Nothobranchius furzeri: one gene and its partner. The protein of the gene in region 1 purifies or fractionates together with the protein of each later gene. This does not show direct contact. Links are inferred from orthologs where the notes say so. Each region holds a gene or a part of one and is shown in the gene's direction. Other genes may lie near its edges.

Region 1 (3,816 bases):
CCGCTACACTGGTTACCGTGACAACCCAACCTGATCGGTCTGCTTTGATCTATTTTGAAATCCGGCAACTTCAGCGGATGATACGGTGGCTGGTAAGGGTCACCGCGCCTACACCGCAGCCACGATAATCCACAGCGATAATATGTTTTTTAAAAAACAAGACTGTTATTATTATTGTCAACTTTTTTACCGGGGTTTACCGCTACACCGGTTACCGTGACAACCCTAGTCTCGTTCTGATATTAATATCAGATGTAGGCCCACAAACACTATCAGATTATATCGGTTTGCATCAAAAATCTCCAATATTATTAGTACGTTCCTCTTTAAATTCCATTCCAGCAGTTCTATCCCTCAGCGCCCAGATCCAGCATGCAAAGTCCCCGTGATCAGAACAATGTGCTATCAAAGTAGCGAGGAACAATGTCGGCCATGTGGCTTTATTTTTTTGTTAAAGTCTGAAAAAGACTCGGTGCAACGCTTGCCATGCACAAGTTTCCTGTGGTGGAACATGAAAAAGTCCAGCTGCATCGTGCGTCTGAAGCAGGATCACAAAACATTGCATGAGGGTTTTTGCAGTGCGTGAATTTGAAACCTGTAGCAGTTGGTCAGTGAACAATGTTGTTTTTTTCCTTAGATCCCATCCCTCCACTGTTATGCAATCAAAGTTAAATGAAAAAATTGGTCCGTTTTTACACTTACTGTTGCTGGCTTTTGTTTTCTCGTTGAGTAATATCACTGTTATCAAGCCTTTTATGCATTCCACACCATGAAATGGGTACAAGTAGTTATGATTTGTGCTGATATCGGTATCAGTCAAGACTGAAGGCTGCATATCGATATCGTATCGGAAGTGAAAAAAAGTTGTATCGGGACATCCCTAACCACCTGTTTATCAACTTAAGGGAAACACCACAGACTTCTCCGCCTCCACCCATGTGCTCGGAGACATGTTCCGGAGAAGGCTAGGTGAACAAAACTTGGCCGCGTGGGGGCATGCCGACGCTGCAAAGACGGGGTCAGGCCAGATGTGAAAACGCCAAAAACAGGACCAGTGAAGATTCCAGCTAACTCCTGTTCTGTCTTTTCCAGAGCAACTGGAATGAGATTACAGACAACTTTGATGATATGAACCTGAAAGAGTCCCTTCTCCGGGGAATATATGCGTATGGTTTTGAAAAGCCATCGGCCATTCAACAGAGGGCGATCATTCCTTGCATCAAAGGTACACAAGTCGAACTGCGTGGTGGTTTTTGATAGAGTGAAATGATGCTTAACCATCTTTCGGGACTTACCAAATTATGGTGATATTTTTTTTCTCACTGATCACTCTTAAGAGGCCGTGTTGAGATTTGTATCGTTTTATCTGAGATGTTTATGGAGTTTTAATACAAATTCTCTCATCGTTAGGCTATGATGTCATTGCTCAAGCCCAGTCAGGCACAGGCAAGACAGCCACGTTTGCCATCTCTATCTTGCAGCAGCTGGATATTGAACAGAAGGAGACCCAGGCTCTGGTGTTAGCTCCCACCAGAGAGCTGGCTCAGCAGGTATGCTGTTCCTGAGGTCATGATAACCTCAACAGTGTCTCAGGCCTAGGCAGCATACTGAGGACACTGTTCAGATGTGAAGGTACCGTCTTTTACAGATTTGTCAAAATTCATGAAATAATTGATGCCATCTTCTGATTGGTGTAGTCTCTGTCCGTGACTGCATCAGTCTACAAGATGATTAAGTTGGATTGAATTCTGTTTGTTGATGCGGAAACCGAGTGATATGATGGTATACCATCTTTCGGGACTGACTCTTGATGTGGAGAGTTCCTTTTGCTTTACTGATCACTCCAAACCGTTTTTTTCTGCTTATGTTTGCATTTTTATTTGCACCATTTCTGAACTGGTGGCATTTTTTGTCATCTCCCTTTAGATTCAGAAGGTAATCTTGGCTTTGGGTGATTACATGGGGGCAACCTGCCATGCTTGCATCGGAGGGACTAATCTTCGCAGTGAGATTCAGAAGTTTCAGGCCGAGGCTCCTCACATAGTGGTGGGCACCCCGGGCCGTGTGTATGACATGCTGAACAGGAGACATCTATGTGGGTATCGCTGCTCCTGGGAGGGAGATTAGCACACGTTCTGGAAGTGAGCCCATCTGACTGTTGTGTATGTTTTTCTGCAGCCCCTAAGTGGATCAAGATGTTTGTTCTGGACGAGGCTGATGAGATGTTGAGTCGAGGGTTCAAGGATCAAATCTACGAGATCTTTCAGAAACTGAGTACAAACATTCAAGTGAGTATCCGTAGCAGAACAAAGAGCCTTGAGGCGAGACTCGTGGTGATTTGGCGACCCTTCTGCAGTTCAAGAACTGTGCTGTAGTTGTGTGGTCCAGTTGTTCTGTTCCATGCAATAATGCTAGCAGAGTACAATGCAGACGGAGATTAAAACGCACTGAACCGAAAATGAGATGTGGTCGAACCTCTTTCTTAATGTTCGCTGGCTGCATTCTCGAGGTGACGTGCTACACCTGGCCGCAGAGCTAAAGGTTTCTGTGTCGATGTTCTGGTGTCGTGTTCTGACGTGTCGTTCCTTCCTCAGGTGGTCCTGCTCTCGGCCACCATGCCAGCTGATGTTTTGGAGGTAACAAAGAAATTCATGCGGGACCCTGTTCGCATCCTGGTGAAGAAGGAGGAGCTCACGCTCGAGGGTATCAAGCAGTTCTACATAAATGTGGAGAGAGAGGTTGGTTTGCTGTGGTGCTGCTGGACTGATTACCTTCTCTCTAAAGCACCCTGCTCAAACTGCAGGAGCTGAACCTGTTTCAGCTCATGTGGCCGTGTAAGCATGGGTACACCAGGGAAGAAGATTAACATCACAGAATTGCAAAGGAGACTGGGAGGGACCTCTTTCTTAATGTTCCAGTTCCTTTGTCTCAAGATCCTGTGTTACACACCCTGCTGCTGAACTCCTCCTGATGTTCAGACCTGTCAGGTTGATGTTCTGTTGACGACAACTAATTAATGTTAATGACTGTTTACAGGAATGGAAACTGGACACACTGTGTGATCTGTACGAGACTCTGACCATCACCCAGGCTGTGATCTTCCTCAACACCAGGAGAAAAGTCGACTGGTTGACAGAGAAGATGCACGCTAGGGACTTCACCGTCTCTGCTCTGGTACGACACCGTCGGTCTGCTGATTAGGTCCTACTCTCTTCTGTTCTCTGATGAGTAGTTGTTTTTCTTCTCTCCAGCACGGAGACATGGACCAGAAGGAGCGTGACGTGATAATGAGGGAGTTCAGGTCCGGCTCCAGCAGAGTGTTGATCACCACAGATCTTCTGGTTTGTATAGATTCCAGATCTCCGTGTTCTTGCCTGAAACTGCAACCCAAATCGTTGTCCATCTTGCGACAGTCTTGAAATGACTGAAACGGTCCAACGTTTGGGAGATGAAGGCTCGTTCTCCACAATGCATTCTTTGATGTAGGAATCTGTTACTGAAACACGAGCAACATCGGCAAAGTTCTAAAAGCGGTCAACCACCCGGGCCAACAGTCAGTAAGGTTTTTCTTCTCCTAGGCTCGTGGGATTGACGTGCAGCAAGTCTCTTTGGTCATCAACTACGACCTTCCTACAAATCGTGAAAACTACATTCATAGGTGAGGAGAGCTGTGGACTCCTGCGCTCCGTGCTCTCCGGTGTTGTACTAACGAGGTCCTTCTCTGCAGAATTGGACGCGGTGGGCGTTTTGGTAGGAAAGGAGTTGCCATCAACTTTGTCACTGAGGAGGACAAAAGGATTCTTCGTGACATCGAGA
Region 2 (4,473 bases), on another chromosome or scaffold:
GCTCTAAAGGACAGAGGGCTTTCTTAGTAACAAAACATTTTACATATTGCCGACATTATATTGCTATAAAGGATAAGACAATCACTTTTATGGCTTCCTAAAAATTAAAGATGATTCCCAAAAGGAGGAAGCATCTGGATTGTTGCTTTAACAGTTTGAAGAGAAATCAATTTAATGTTTTATTTTTGGTCCCTTGCAGGTATGGTGTGCTGTCAGGACACCTGAGAGCTCCCATGAGGGTGTGATCACAGATCCTCACAGTCCATCAAGATTTAGAGTCATAGGCACAATCTCCAATTCACAAGAGTTCTCAAAGCACTTTGGCTGCGGAGCAGATTCTCCTATGAATCCTAAACACAAGTGTGAGCTTTGGTGAGGCCTTTCTGTGAAGTGCTGTTAAGTGAGAAGAGGTGAACGTGAGTGAAAAGCCTGTGATATTCTGACAACGTCTATTTGGACGAAAATGTGAGAACCACTGAAACCCTTAATGCCTTGCCACTTAAAGCCTGTGAGTCTCCTTATCAGGATGCAATGTGCCTGCTTCATGTGGAGGATTGCACTCCTTTCTGCTTCCCCACAAGGACTGCTAATTTACAAAACAACTCAACCTAAATGTAGTTATAAAAGTGTTTTTATAAACACTGGAAACCCTTCATACAGACACAGAAGGAGGGCAGCTCAGTCTTTGAAAACAGCTTGCTCACTCTATGGTTAATAAGCAGAAATCTTTGTTCTTATGTGTGAATATGTTTGTGAACTGTTCTAATGTTTGGAGTAACTGGTTTTTTAAGTGTATTTATAGTTATATTTTTATAAAGACTTTCCAATGACTTTCAAGGTTTAATTAGCAAAAATTGTGGCAAATCTTCAGCATTATCTTTGAGCCACTGCAATAATTCTGATCCGTTTGTGTAAATCTCAAAGGAGAGTGTAATTCAGAAGTTATGCAGGTTCTAAGCCGCTGTGTCACGTTCCTTTTACATGTTAAACTGTTGCAAATTATTTGTATATTAAAGATCAACCTTAAATCTTATTTTGCCTTCATTTTTTTCAGTGATGTCAGATTTTAACCAGCTAAAATAAACCTGAAGGAACAAGTGTTGCTAGTTTGCAGGTACAGTACCGCCTGTGTACCGGCAGATGGCAGTGATAACACGTTTTTAATCAGAGTCCTATTGAAGCAATGAGCTGGGCAGTCCTAGGATTATCTTTGCCCATAAAGACAGTTAAATTACCAGAAAAGGATGCGCGCATTACTTCATGTAGTTTTATTTCCATCAATTGATTAAATGCAACAAAGATCTATCCAGGACTCAAATATTATTTACAGAACTGGGAGATATGGGGGAGCATGTACCATTCACGTTTTGGATACGCGCGCACTGTTTATTTGAAGGTTCGCTGATTAGCCGAGTGATTCCGTAAGTACCCGAGGATTGCCGAATCATCTGTCCTGCCCGGACAGAAGCGGCTGCAACGCCATGTTGGCGAAGTCTCTCATTTCTGTGAGAAAAAAATGATAGAACACATTATTGCCGAGAAGAAAAGATAGATCGCAAAAAGGAGGTTGAGAACCGCGTCATTAATTTGATTTGAAAGGAACGAACCGAGACGGACCCGCAGAGGTTCCGGACGGACAAGGGAGGCTAAACCTCCCACCGTCCCCATGAATAGCACCGCTGATCCGAACAGCGACTTTTCATGAAAAAAGACGTTTGTATTGCTTTTCGAGCTTCGTTATCCCAGTTCCAGTAACGGGATTTGGGGCATGCTTCAAGCAACGCTTGCTTTATGTATGCAAGCTAAGCTTTGTTTATATCAGTATTAAGGTATTGTTTTACTTTTTGATTTTTTTTTCTTGCGATGAGTTTGCCATCGAAAGTGGTCCCTAAGCCCGCCGCTGTCGCAGTTAGCGGACCTGGAAGTGGCCCCTCTCCGTCGAGTCAACTACGGGCTACCCTGACCTCCGTGTCTCTGCCGCCTGGAGCCCCAACTGCACCTCAGCCTGGTGCCGTTCCACCTCCGTATCCTTTCACATGGGTAACACACAAATTGAGTGCGACTCTGGAGTTACATTGTACTTCTTAATAGTCACTCGCTGCATAGTGTTATTCGTGCTAGATAATAGAGCATGGATGTAGAAATGATGGTTTAATTTGGAGGGAGGGGAGAGGGCACAATTAGCTAAGCATGCTAACGTTAGCTAATCAAGCCGGTTGTCCAAGCTAAATGTGTCAGGTTTATTTTGTTAGTTGACGCCACTTCACTGAATTAGCTTACTTTTTTATGAAATATATGTATATATCGTGATTAATCCCAGCGGGAAAGTAAAATTATGATTTAGAGAAAGTTTATTTGAGACAGGAAAGCTTCATCACCGGTAAGCTATCGTTCTTCTCACCGGTGACCGGCTTTGTTCACTGCCGATTGTTGACTAGCAAGATGCGTTAGCCGAGTTAAAGCACTGCAGCTGCTATACCAAAGACAGCCCCTTGTGGTTAAAAAGTGTACAGGTCAGTGGATGCAACGTCGAGCTGAAGGGCGTCATCCACTTCGGCGTCCTGATCTATGGTTTTATAATGTAATTGAGCTAATTCAGGCTAGTACCAGGCCCGGTGTCTCAGAACCCCAGTGGCTGTTGAGGGGGGCGTTGAGTTCAGTGAATGACAGATGGGCATTTGGTACGAGCTGGTTGTTAAAATACCAGCTGATAATCTCTTCAGAAGGTGTCTCCGGGCTTTTAAACTGATTCTACCTTCTGTGATGCCGGAAAGTCTCACCTCATACATGCGGGTTCTGCTCGCACCAGGATGCGTTGTCACTTAAACTATCTGTTTACCTTTGAGTTAAATAAGATGGGGGGCCTAAGATCACCTTTTGGTGGAGTGAAGTCACCGCGCGGGTGTCACCTCCTGTTTTATTTACAGCATGGTGTGTGTGTGTGTGTGTGTGGGGGGGGGGGGGGTGGCATTGGGTGGATGTTTGCTGCTTGCTAGAAGCAGAGATGCGTATTTTGTGATCTGATGGCATCCAATGAGGCTTAGCTTTTGGTTGGGATGTCTCAACCTGATGTCCTGCCTCTCAGGATCACCACCACCTTGTGTTTTCGATTTCTGAATGGGGCAGCAGGTTGTAGCAGATGCCAGCAGCAAGCTATCGCCTTTTCAGTTTCATATATTTTTCATGTCTGAATAGGACAAGTCAAACCTTTTTTTTTTTACTCAAGGCTATTGACATTAATCCAACATTCTTTCACCAACGTTCACCGACTTTTGTTACCTCTTATAAAGAGCTGTACACTTTAAATATGCTTATTGTCATTCTTGTTTAAGGAACTTTAAATATTTTTGAAAGTTTTTAGTTTTGCAGCTTTTCTTTAGTGTGGTTTTCAAGTTAATCTAGTACAACTGTCTATAATCACAGAAATAAAACAACTAAGTTATCAGGCTGAAATAACACTCTTATTATAAAAGGCTCAATAATATGCATTAGAATGGTGTTTAGTTCCCTTTTGTCCATCTGATATATATAGTTAAAATATGTTTAAATATTTGACCTAGATTTCAGTAACATTTTAGGTTTATATTAATAACCCTCATCTTAGGCATAATAACACATAAATATATCCAGTAAAATCTAATGCATTTCATTAACATGCATTTGTATTGGAAATTGTAATAACATTTCATTTCTGCAGCTAACAATGTAATGGTGGCATGTCTATTATGTACGGGTTGGCATTAATCCAGTTTAAATTATGTTCTAAGAAGTGTTTGTGAATTATATACAGTATACAGTGGGGCAAAAAAGTATTTAGTCAGCCACCGATTGTGCAAGTTCTCCCACTTAAAATGATGACAGAGGTCAGTAATTTTCATCATAGGTACACTTCAACTGTGAGAGACAGCATGTGAAAAAAAATCCATGAATTCACATGTCAGGATTTTTAAAGAATTTATTTGTAAATCAGGGTGGAAAATAAGTATTTGGTCACTTCAAACAAGGAAAATCTCTGGCTCTCACAGACCTGTAACGTCTTCTTTAAGAAGCTTTTCTGTCCTCCACTCGTTACCTGTATTAATGGCACCTGTTTGAACTCATTATCTGTATAAAAGACACCTGTCCACAGCCTCAAACAGTCAGACTCCAAACTCCACTATGACCAATACCAAAGAGCTTTCGAAGGACACCAGGAAAAGAATTGTAGACCTGCACCAGACTGGGAAGAGTGAATCTACAATAGGCAAGCAGCTTGGTGTGAAAAAAATCATCTGTGGGAGCAATTATCAGAAAATGGAAGACATACAAGACCACTGATAATTTCCCTCGATCTGGGGCTCCACGCAAGATCTCATCCCGTGGGGTCAAAATGATCATGAGAACGGTGAGCAAGAATCCCAGAACCACACGGGGGGACCTGGTGAATGACCTGCAGAGAGCTGGGACCACAGTAACAAAGGTCACCATCAGTAA

What was found.
Region 2: the proteins of eif4a2 (region 1) and eif4g3a purify together in Homo sapiens (affinity purification with mass spectrometry; 3 studies listed by BioGRID and IntAct, with this or other methods). This does not show direct contact. The link is inferred for Nothobranchius furzeri from reciprocal best matches to the Homo sapiens genes EIF4A2 and EIF4G3.

The regions. Positions count from the first base shown.
Region 1 is NC_091751.1:69,534,718-69,538,533, forward strand, and holds part of eif4a2 (eukaryotic initiation factor 4A-II), read left to right. Parts: intron 1-905; exon of another isoform or gene 906-1,018; intron 1,019-1,092; coding exon 1,093-1,225; intron 1,226-1,259; exon of another isoform or gene 1,260-1,332; intron 1,333-1,410; coding exon 1,411-1,550; intron 1,551-1,769; exon of another isoform or gene 1,770-1,844; intron 1,845-1,926; coding exon 1,927-2,095; intron 2,096-2,178; coding exon 2,179-2,288; intron 2,289-2,345; exon of another isoform or gene 2,346-2,525; intron 2,526-2,594; coding exon 2,595-2,738; intron 2,739-2,769; exon of another isoform or gene 2,770-2,949; intron 2,950-3,036; coding exon 3,037-3,174; intron 3,175-3,251; coding exon 3,252-3,341; intron 3,342-3,578; coding exon 3,579-3,658; intron 3,659-3,727; coding exon 3,728-3,816. UniProt on the Homo sapiens protein: ATP-dependent RNA helicase which is a subunit of the eIF4F complex involved in cap recognition and is required for mRNA binding to ribosome.
Region 2 is NC_091743.1:76,800,238-76,804,710, forward strand, and holds the start of eif4g3a (eukaryotic translation initiation factor 4 gamma 3), read left to right. Parts: upstream 1-1,650; 5' UTR 1,651-1,863; coding exon 1,864-2,024; intron 2,025-4,473. Other genes in the region: ece1 (endothelin-converting enzyme 1), read left to right, coding at 200-376. UniProt on the Homo sapiens protein: Component of the protein complex eIF4F, which is involved in the recognition of the mRNA cap, ATP-dependent unwinding of 5'-terminal secondary structure and recruitment of mRNA to the ribosome. Functional homolog of EIF4G1.